Macaca fascicularis: one gene and its partner. The protein of the gene in region 2 purifies or fractionates together with the protein of the main gene of each other region. This does not show direct contact. Links are inferred from orthologs where the notes say so. Each region holds a gene or a part of one and is shown on either strand. Other genes may lie near its edges.

What was found. The genes of interacting proteins can lie anywhere in the genome.
Region 1: the proteins of RNF185 (region 2) and TMUB1 purify together in Homo sapiens (affinity purification with mass spectrometry; 5 studies listed by BioGRID and IntAct, with this or other methods). This does not show direct contact. The link is inferred for Macaca fascicularis from reciprocal best matches to the Homo sapiens genes RNF185 and TMUB1.

What each region holds. Positions count from the first base shown.
Region 1 is NC_088377.1:192,360,348-192,365,599, reverse strand, and holds TMUB1 (transmembrane and ubiquitin-like domain-containing protein 1), read left to right. Parts: upstream 1-1,841; 5' UTR 1,842-1,896; coding exon 1,897-1,992; intron 1,993-2,043; exon of another isoform or gene 2,044-2,144; intron 2,145-2,726; coding exon 2,727-3,145; intron 3,146-3,419; coding exon 3,420-3,771; 3' UTR 3,772-4,228; downstream 4,229-5,252. Other genes in the region: FASTK (fas-activated serine/threonine kinase), read left to right, coding at 4,548-4,629. UniProt on the Homo sapiens protein: Involved in sterol-regulated ubiquitination and degradation of HMG-CoA reductase HMGCR. Involved in positive regulation of AMPA-selective glutamate receptor GRIA2 recycling to the cell surface.
Region 2 is NC_088384.1:20,440,085-20,444,610, forward strand, and holds part of RNF185 (E3 ubiquitin-protein ligase RNF185), read right to left. Parts: intron 3,870-4,526; coding exon 3,752-3,869; intron 912-3,751; coding exon 814-911; 3' UTR 1-813. UniProt on the Homo sapiens protein: E3 ubiquitin-protein ligase that regulates selective mitochondrial autophagy by mediating 'Lys-63'-linked polyubiquitination of BNIP1.

The sequences.
Region 1 (5,252 bases), on a different chromosome or scaffold from region 2:
GCAAGCTAATCAACACATAGGGTCTCCTAAGCTCCTGAGGAATCTGTGTCTGTGTTTCTATCTCCCTGCATAACCTTAAGGATATCTTGTGCCCTCTCTGGGTTTCATCTGCAAAATATAGTGGTTGAACAGAAAACCTAGTTCTGATGTATAATTCTAAAAGTAACATCCAACATCTCTTTTAGATGCTTAATTAGAATTGACAGCAGGAAGTAGCACCAGGTATACCTCCCAAAAGAGATACTAAGAGCAAAGAGCTCCTCAAATGTGTTGCCCCAGCAACTAGCACACACCTGTTATAGCTCTGATGGGCTGTTCACACGACTAGCTCCTCTACTAGTATATGGAGCCACATGAGGGCAGGAAGATGGTCTGATTCACCATTTTATTCCCAGTATCTTGCACAATGCCTGGCAAATAGTGTGTGTGCATATATATATATATATATATATATATATATATATATGCATATATATATTTCAAGACAGAGTCTCACTCTGTTGCCCAGGTTGGAGTGCAGTGGCTCGATCTCAGCTCACTGCAACCTCCACCTCCCACGTTCAAGTGATTCTCCTGCCTCAGCCTCCTGAGTAGCTGGAATTACAGGCACCCTCCACCACATCCAACTAATTTTTGTATTTTTTTTTTTTTAGTAGAGATGGGCTTTTACCATGTTGGCCAGGCTGGTCTCGAACTCCTGACCTCAGTGATCCACCTACCTCGGTCTCCCAAAGTGCCAGGATTACAGACATAAGCCACCGCGCCTGGCCATAGTATATCTTTTAAAAATATGTTAGTAGAATAAATGAATGAACAGGAGGGATGGAACTAGATAGGTTAGTTCTGTATGGTATCAATCTAGACTGACATTCCTAAGGCAATATTTGGGCCACTTGCTCCCACAGTAGGCAAGAACTATGGGAAAACTAGGATAGATTATTTTAAATCAAGACTGGCCTGTAAAAACCAGGATGTGAGATCTCTGTGGCTACAGGAGCCCAGAGGGAAAAATCCACAGATATCCACAGGCCTGGGATTCAATGTCATCCACACAGTAACACACCAGGATCCGATTCCAGAGACCAGCTTTGAGCGGAGGTGAGCAAATAGCTACTGTGTGACATGTACCTTAGTTTTCACACTTTTAAATAAAACATCTAATTTCTTCCTTATGATTGACTTACGACGTATGTTTCAGAAAGGAAGAAATTAATCTTTAGAGAGATTCAATAACCCACCCAAGGTCATATAGCTGAGAAGCACAGGATAAGGGATCAGGATTTGTGCCAGGTTCCAAGGTCTATGCTTCTTCCACAGTCCTGAAAGAGCAAGGTGGAGGAGGGGACCAAGGAAAGGGGCAGCCCTGAGGATGGGTATCCCTGGCCAGCCTAGTGGGACAGCCCATGGATATTGGGCTCTGGGCTGAAGAATTAATTTTGGTGGCCAAAGTGCCTTCTGGCGTCCACTCTGACATAAGGGTAGGGGCCACCTGAGTTCCTCAGAGCCTTCCTCACTGCATCACGAACACGGGTGTTCTGACGTGCTTCAGCTGACGTCGGTGTCTGGTGTGACAGATGCTCTGGCTGTTGGCGGGGGAGGGGGCGGACCCTGCTGCCGCCCAAACCTCTAGCCGGTAGCGCAACCCCCCAAAGCCGTCCCCACCGACCCCTCCGCGATCTGCTGGAGCAGAGAACCGCGGGTGGAGCCCAGCACGTGGGTCCGCAGGGCGGAGGGCGGAGACAGAGCGGCGCCGGACTACAAGTCCCACAATGCCCCGGGCCGCGGCGGCGAGGAAGGAGGGGTGCTTCAGGTGCCTGCGACCTCCGCGCCTCCCGCCCGGAAGTGTCCGAGGGGCCGCGATGGAGCTGGGGCAGCCGGGCGGTGAGTCCCCGCGCCATGACCGCGCCCACCCCGCCGCCCAGGGCCCCGGCCGGGCCCCGCCCGCCCTGCCCTGGATCGCCGTGCCCTCCTGCGGCTCCGGGGGGCGGGAAGGTGGGAGGGGTGATGAGGGGTGGGGGTAGGGAACGTGAAGTCTCGGATTCCGGGCGGGATCTGGGGTCTGGCAGCCCGCGGGGCTTGGAGACACTTCCAGAGAAGGCGTGGAGTTGGGCCTCCGCGGAGTGGGGTTGAGGGGACCGAGCTGGGTGGGTGGTGACGCTCGGAGGCTCCAGATTGCCCAGGGGCGGAGTTTGACGTTTGCTGTGGGGGAAGCCTGGGAAGCAGTCCTGTGCCGCGGGTGGGGTTTAGGTGAACCGTAATGCGGGGGGCGGGGGGTGGGGGCACAGAGGCTCTACCCCCACCTCGGAGAAACTTTAGCAACGGAGTAGATGAGCATGGGGTGAAGTCGGTGAAGGAGTAGACACACTGGGGTGAAGTGGGCAGGAGAATAGATACGCATGGGCGTGAAGTTTGGCTGGGGTGAAGTTTAGGGGAGGCGTTGCTTAGGCCCTTACCTTGGGATAGGGTTTGGGTGAGTTGGGAGCTGGTTGAAGACCTCGAGCTCAGATGACAGAAAGTTAGGACTTGGGATTCGGCGATGGGAAGGGGCACCCGGAGGCAAGTTTGGGGCGACTGGGAGGCAAAGCAGCCCGTACCCTGGGGTGGGTGAGGGAACCCAGGCTGAGGACGGTGGGAGCGTCGCGGTGGGGTGGGGGCAGGACCCTGTGGAGGTTCCAGGGCTCCTGGTCAGAGGGCCCGCGCCTCACGGGCTCTTTGTGCCTCTCCAGCTCGGTAGCGCGGCGGGCAAGGCAGGCGCCATGACCCTGATTGAAGGGGTGGGTGATGAGGTGACCGTCCTTTTCTCGGTGCTTGCCTGCCTTCTGGTGCTGGCCCTCGCCTGGGTCTCAACGCACACCGCTGAGGGCGGGGACCCACTGCCCCAGCCGTCAGGGACCCCAACGCCATCCCAGCCCAGCGCAGCCATGGCAGCTACCGACACCATGAGAGCGGAGGTCCCAGGGGCAGAGACCCCCAGCCTGAGACACAGAGGTCAAGCTGCACAGCCAGAGCCCAGCACGGGGGTCACAGCAACACCACCAGCCCCGGACTCCCCGCAGGAGCCCCTCGTGCTACGGCTGAAATTCCTCAATGATTCAGAGCAGGTGGCCAGGGCCTGGCCCCACGACACCATTGGCTCCTTGAAAAGGTACGTAGGTCAAGAGGCAGGAGCAATGCTGAAGACAGGGGTGGGGGGAGTGGTCACAGAAGGCCCCAGGAGAGACCTAAGACCCAGCCCTCCTTTATACTGGAGGCGCTGAGCGCCCCAGATCACAACTGCACTTGTTCCCTTGGCAGTCTGCCCCTCCCAGGCCAGGGCCGGTGTGTTGTGGAGGGCAGGGGAAGGGTGGGAGTGTTGTTCCGGGGCCAGGGACTAGGATTGCCTGAGGCCTGCTCTCTTACCCAGGTCCCTCTCTCCTCAGGACCCAGTTTCCTGGCCGGGAACAGCAGGTGCGACTCATCTACCAAGGGCAGCTGCTAGGCGACGACACCCAGACCCTGGGCAGCCTTCACCTCCCTCCCAACTGCGTTCTCCACTGCCACGTGTCCACGAGGGTCGGCCCCCCAAATCCCCCCTGCCCGCCGGGGTCCGAGCCCGGCCCCTCCGGGCTGGAAATCGGCAGCCTGCTGCTGCCCCTGCTGCTCCTGCTGCTGCTGCTGCTCTGGTACTGCCAGATCCAGTACCGGCCCTTCTTTCCCCTGACCGCCACTCTGGGCCTGGCCGGCTTCACCCTGCTCCTCAGTCTCCTGGCCTTCGCCATGTACCGCCCGTAGTGCCTCCGCGGGCGTTTGGCAGCGTCGCCGGCCCCTCTGGACCTTGCTCCCCGCGCCGCAGCGGGAGCTGCTGCCTGCCCAGGCCCGTCTCTCCGGCCTGCCTCTTCCCGCTGCCCTGGAGCCCAGCCCTGCGCCGCAGAAGACTCCAGGGGCTGGCAGAGGCCCCGCCCTGCGACCACCGGGGCTCGGGGCCACCTCCCGGGGCTGCTGGCCCTCAGTCCGCACTGGGAGTGGGCTCCTCGGGGTCGGGCATCTGCTGTCGCTGCCTCGGCCCCGGGCAGAGCCCGGCCGCCCCCGGGGCCCGTCTTAGCGTTCTGCCGGAGGACCCAGCCGCCTCCAATCCCTGACAGCTCCTTGGCCTGAGTTGGGGACGCCAGGACGGTGGGAGGCAGGTGAAGGGGAGGGGCATAGGAGTTCCCCGGAACTTGTGCAGATTAAAGTAACTGTGAAGTTTTCACTCTTGCAGTGTGTCTGAGTGTGTGCGGGATGGCGGGCGGGGACTCCTCGCCCCTTGGGAGAGAAGGGCACGGACGGCGCCCTCGGCTCTGGCCCACCGCTTTCCCTTCTCCCCTGCCTTCTGCTCTGGCTTTGGCGCCGGCCTCCGTGGCCCCGCCCCCGGTGCCGCGCGCGCACTTCCCGCGGGCGGAGCTCACGGCTCCCTGGCTCGCAGTGCCTGCCGGGAGCCACGTCTCCGCTGGTCGATAGCTGTTTCGGGATTGGTGTCCGGGCGGCTATCTGGGGGCTGCTGGGAAGATGGCGGACTCGGTGGCCAGCCGATGAGGAGGCCGCGGGGGGAACCCGGCCCCCGGGCCCCGAGACCGACTGAGGGAGCGACCTGCGCAGGGCCCGGGGAGTCATGTAGGGGTGGCGCCTGCGGGGAGGGCTGTGGGAGGGCAGCGGGAGCTGGTGTTAGCGGCAGCGGCCACGGTCTCCTGGCGTCCCTGGGTCGGGGTGGGTGTGGGGGCCCCCGACTTCGCCGACCCCACGCCATCGCAAAGCGGTGCACTCGGGCTCCACGCGCGCCCTGCGAGGTGGGCGTTGCGATTTCATTTCACGGGTGAGGAGACTTAGACGAAGCCACTTGTCCAAGGTCACGCCGCTGGTGAGTGGGAGCGCCCAGCATGGAACCCAGCGCCGTCCAGCCGCGGAGCCCGCGTTCCACCCTCTGTGCCGCCGCCGCCTCCTGCGGGAGAGGGAGGTGGTCGGGAGAGTGCACGCCGGTGCCGCCTGGGCTCCAGACTGGGCGCGACCACTAACCCGGTTAATGACCTCAGGCTTAACTTAACCCCTTAGCTGCTCTGGGCCTGCGTTTCTCCACCGGTGAAATGAGGTAATGCCAGCCCTGCCTACTCTTCACGGGCGTGTAAGGAGCATCAGAGATGGTGCATGTGGAATTGCTTTGCAAGTAGTGCCCTGAGCGCACTGAGGATTATGATTGCTGTTTCAAAGGCGTGGAAGGAGGCAGAGGGGCGGGGTGGGGA
Region 2 (4,526 bases):
AGCTTCAGCAGTATTCTTGGCTGTATGTTCTCTGGCAGACAGAGGCAGATGCACATAGTTTTAGGGAGAAAGCTGATGGGAAATCTTTGAGTGAAGCCACATGTCCCACCAGGAATAATTTATGCCAGGAAACCAAGAAGTCATTCAAGTTGTTCTCTGAGGTCAAAGACGCTGAGCACAGCCCAGAGCCAATAAAAGATTTGAGTCTCTGGTGAATTCATGAAGTGACCCCAGCTTTAGCTGCTGCAATTATGATTTTTATGGGACAGCAATTTCTTGCATCTCTACAGAGGAAGAGGAGGGGGAAGGGGAGGAAAGAGAACAGAGCGGCACTGGAATTTGAAAGGGGAACATCTCTATCTGAGGAGCCCCCACTGGCTTCAGAGGCAACTTACCAAGGGGTATTTAAAGAGATGAAAATTTCCAGAAATACCATTTGGTGCATCCTTTTGTTTTTGTAATATTAAACTCAGTTGAAATTATACTCTGACAGTTTCTCTCTTTCTGCCTCTTCCCTCTACAGAGTCAGGACCTGCTCAACTGGTTGAAACAAGATTTCATGGTGTCACCCATGAGAGAGGACTCAATGCCAAGGCCTGAGGTTATAGGGTGTTTACAGCAGTGGCAATACTCAGGGGTCATCGCCAACTGGTCTTGAGTTCCAAAGCTCTGATGGAGAAACAAGACTCCTTGATGTGTTACTGATCCCACTGATTCCAGGAGTCAAGATTAGCCAGGAAGCCAAATACCAGGAGTTGGGGTGGCACATCACCAGTCCAGAGCCCTGCCACGGATGTAGGCAGGAGCCCAGAATTAGGCGATCAGGAGCCAGAACATGATCACCAGGGCCACAAATAGGAAGAGGCGTGACAGGAACTGCTCATCCACATACTGGGGTGTGCCAGGGACAGCTGGAGAGACAGGAGGGAGAAAACAGGCTGTCAGAACACTGCAGCTATGCACACTACCCACTCAGGCCAGAAGTTGACAGCATTAATCTTTTATGTCTTTACAACATCAGAATCCTACACACAAAAGATTTCTTTTTTTTTTTTTTTTTTTTTTTTTTTTTGAGACGGAGTCTCACGCTGTTGCCCAGGCTGGAGTGCAGTGGCGCGATCTCGGCTCACTGCAAGCTCCGCCTCCTGGGTTCACGCCATTCTCCTGCCTCAGCCTCCTGAGTAGCTAGGACTACAGGCGCCCGCCACCGCGCCCGGTTAATTTTTTGTATTTTTAGTAGAGACGGGGTTTCACTGTGGTCTCGATCTCCTGACCTTGTGATCCGCCCGCCTCAGCCTCCCAAAGTGCTGGGATTACAGGCTTGAGCCACCGCGCCCGGCCTCTTTTTTTTTTTTTTGAAACGGAGTCTTGACCTGTCATCCAGGCTGGAGTGCAGTGGCACGATGTCAGCTCACTGCAACCTCCACTTCCCAGGTTCAAGCGATTTTCCTGCCTCAGTCTCCTAAGTAGCTCGGATTACAGGCATGCGCTACCATGCCTGGCTCATTTTCGTATTTTTAGTAGAGACGGGGTTTCACCATGTTGGTCAGGCTGGTCTTGAACTCTTGACCTTGTGATCCGCCCGCCTCTGCCACCAAAAGTGCTGGGATTATAGGCATGAGCCATTGTGCCCAGCCTTTTTTTTTCTTTTTGAGATGGAGTTTTGCTCTTGTTGCCCAAACTGGAGTGCAATGGCGCAATCTCGGCTCACTGCAACCTCTGCCTCCTGGGTTCAAGCCATTCTCTTGCCTCAGCCTCCTGAGTAGCTGGGATTACAGGTGCATGCCACCACACCCAGCTAATTTTTTTTTTTTTTTTTTTTTTTAATTTTTAGTAGAAACAGGGTTTCACCATGTTAGCCAGGCCGGTCTTGAACTCCTGACCTCAGGTGATCCGCCTGCCTCAGCCTCCCAAAGTGTTGGGATTACAGGTGTGAGCCACTGTGCCCAGCCAAAAAAAATTTCTAAACCCCAAATAATATCAGGCAAAATGAAACTATGTGCAACAATAACAATAAGGACAAGACATGGTTCAATTTATCATAAAAGGTTTGGCCTGCACATGCAAATAAACCAGCTGATTAACAGAAAACTCTTGCAGGAAATAATGAAAGCAAGCCTACTGTTTGTTAAGTATATTCTATCTGCTAAGTGTTTTGTACATGTTATTATTTGGTGGATATTATTATTTCCATTTTGAATAGGAAGCAGCTGAAACATAGGTTTGAGGTGACCTGTTCAACATCGAAAGGCTCAGAAGTCAGTGGCAGAGCTCTGCAGTCTCTCCACACACTGCCTCTCAAGGGCCCCACAGGGATTGCTCACAGGGATTGCCTTCCTTTTCCAGAAGAGAACTAGTATCCAGACAGGCAAAATGACTTGTCTTTCAAGTTAGTGGCAGACGAACTGGGGTGAGAACCTAAGTCTCCACTCCTCTCTGCTTTGAGAAAAGCTACCATTTAGAGCTCCCTGTCCTGACTTTGGGGGAAGGAGGATAAAATAATCTGTATCCAGGATGGTCAAATTGTACCAAGCATGACAAGGGAAAACTGTGACTGTGGCAGGAGAAAAAAGTGATCCAGAGTCTAGCCTGGCTGTGGAACTCTACTTAGCTGGGGAATCCAAGGTTAGCCTTGGACCAGGTTAGAAGCATGCAAGCTATCAGGCAGGTTCTTGTTGGCTTCACAGGGATATGCCCTTTCTTCAGGGCAGAGTACTCCCTATCTTTTGGGGTATCCTTCCTCTGAAAAAAAAATGTGAACAGAGGATAAACCTTCAAGGCAGATAAGGTAAGAAAGGGCATTCCCTAGATATCTTGGTGCTGAGATTCCTCAGTTGGATGCTCTAATGGATTCACGAAGACAGGCAGGCAGACAGTCAAGAAAGACTTACAGATCACCTGCTGTGTACCAAGGACCAGGGTGGGGATGAGAATAACTGGGATGACCCAATTACTGTCTTTAGGGCATAAGCTCTTGGCGTGAACCACACAATGGTCACTTCTGTACCATATGCTGTGTCCAGTGTACATGAAGCTCCGAGTGCAGGCAGAGCTCAACCGATCATGGCATCTCTGCAGGCTCCACAGTAAGGATTTTGGCTCGGGTGTCAGACTGTGATAGAGTTCAGGGCACCCACCTCATTGCCTCGCTCTATACTGAATGCAGATGGCACTTTCAAGCAGTAGGAGGGAGAAATGCAGCAGCAGTTGGTGGACCTAGGCATGGTTCCCACAGGGCTGAGGCTGCTTGTGACCAGCCTCATGTTGTGTCCTGAAGGAAGCTGGACAGAGATGCCAGAGAATGGATATGCCCTCACTCCTGATGAGTCATCGCACATTTCCATGTCCCCAGATGGTCAAAGTGGGGAGTAAATGTGCAGAACTAGGCTTTTCCTTAGCTGAGTACCACTTGTAGTTTTTCATTTTATAGACATGGGGTATGTCTTGGTAACATTACTGAGCATTTTCTGACCTGTTAAACAGAGCTAATCACACACTTGTTCCATAGGGTGGTTGTGATGATCCCCTGAGCTTGGAATGGAAAGTGCTATATATATGCCTAATAGTTGGTAAGGGCTCAACATTGTTACCGTGTCTATAAGTGATCTGAAAACAGCTTAAGACATTTTGAAAAGGCTGATTATCCATGTAGTGACAATTATCTGTAACTTATATACTGCTGAATTCCAAGGAGCTTTCAAGCAATATTACTAAGATATCTTCCTAATTTCTCAAGGAAATAGGCTCTTACCTGGAGGAGGCCGCCCATCGTTTATATTAAATGCTGTGGCAAATATCCCAAAGGGAAATGCCCCAATTCCAAAAGACATCTGGAAGCCACCATCTCCAAATCCAAATCCTTGAAATCCCTGTGTGGAAGAAAGGCAATTAAGGGCAGGAGAATTGGGCAGGTTTCTCCTGTGCCTGTTAAAACTCAACATACCTCATGACCTCATGTTGTCTTGCATGTGGCACCTGCCTCTTCTCCCTACCTTGTGCCACATGTTTCCAAGATGGGGGACAGCTTTTCCTCCCATATATACCCTGAAGTAGAGGAACTCTTGCAAGCCTTAGCTTTTAGCTTAACCCTTTTAGCCTTAGCTTCCAGCTAAGAATCTATGAATGGGCCAAAAAGGACTGGCTCTGACCCAGTGTGGAACAGTCTGCTGACATAAGTCAGCACTCTGAGGGCTTGAGGATATTTTCCAGAGTCCCACATTAGCTAGTAACATCTTCCACATGCTTTATAGCAGCAATATTGACAGTCACCCCTGTGCCCAAGGGAACATCAAAGAAGCTACACATTATCTTTAATAGCAAAAATGTTGAAACCTAATTAGCCAACAATGGAAGTCATGATCAAAATCTTGATACATGCATTCAAAGAACCATTATCCTGACTTAAGCGGTTAACACTGAAAAACTCTTGTGAACAAGTTTTCAGACAAAACTGCTTGAACACTGTGGTCACAAGCACATGATAATATGTAGGTATATGGAGAAGTTATGGATTAAAATTTCTTCTA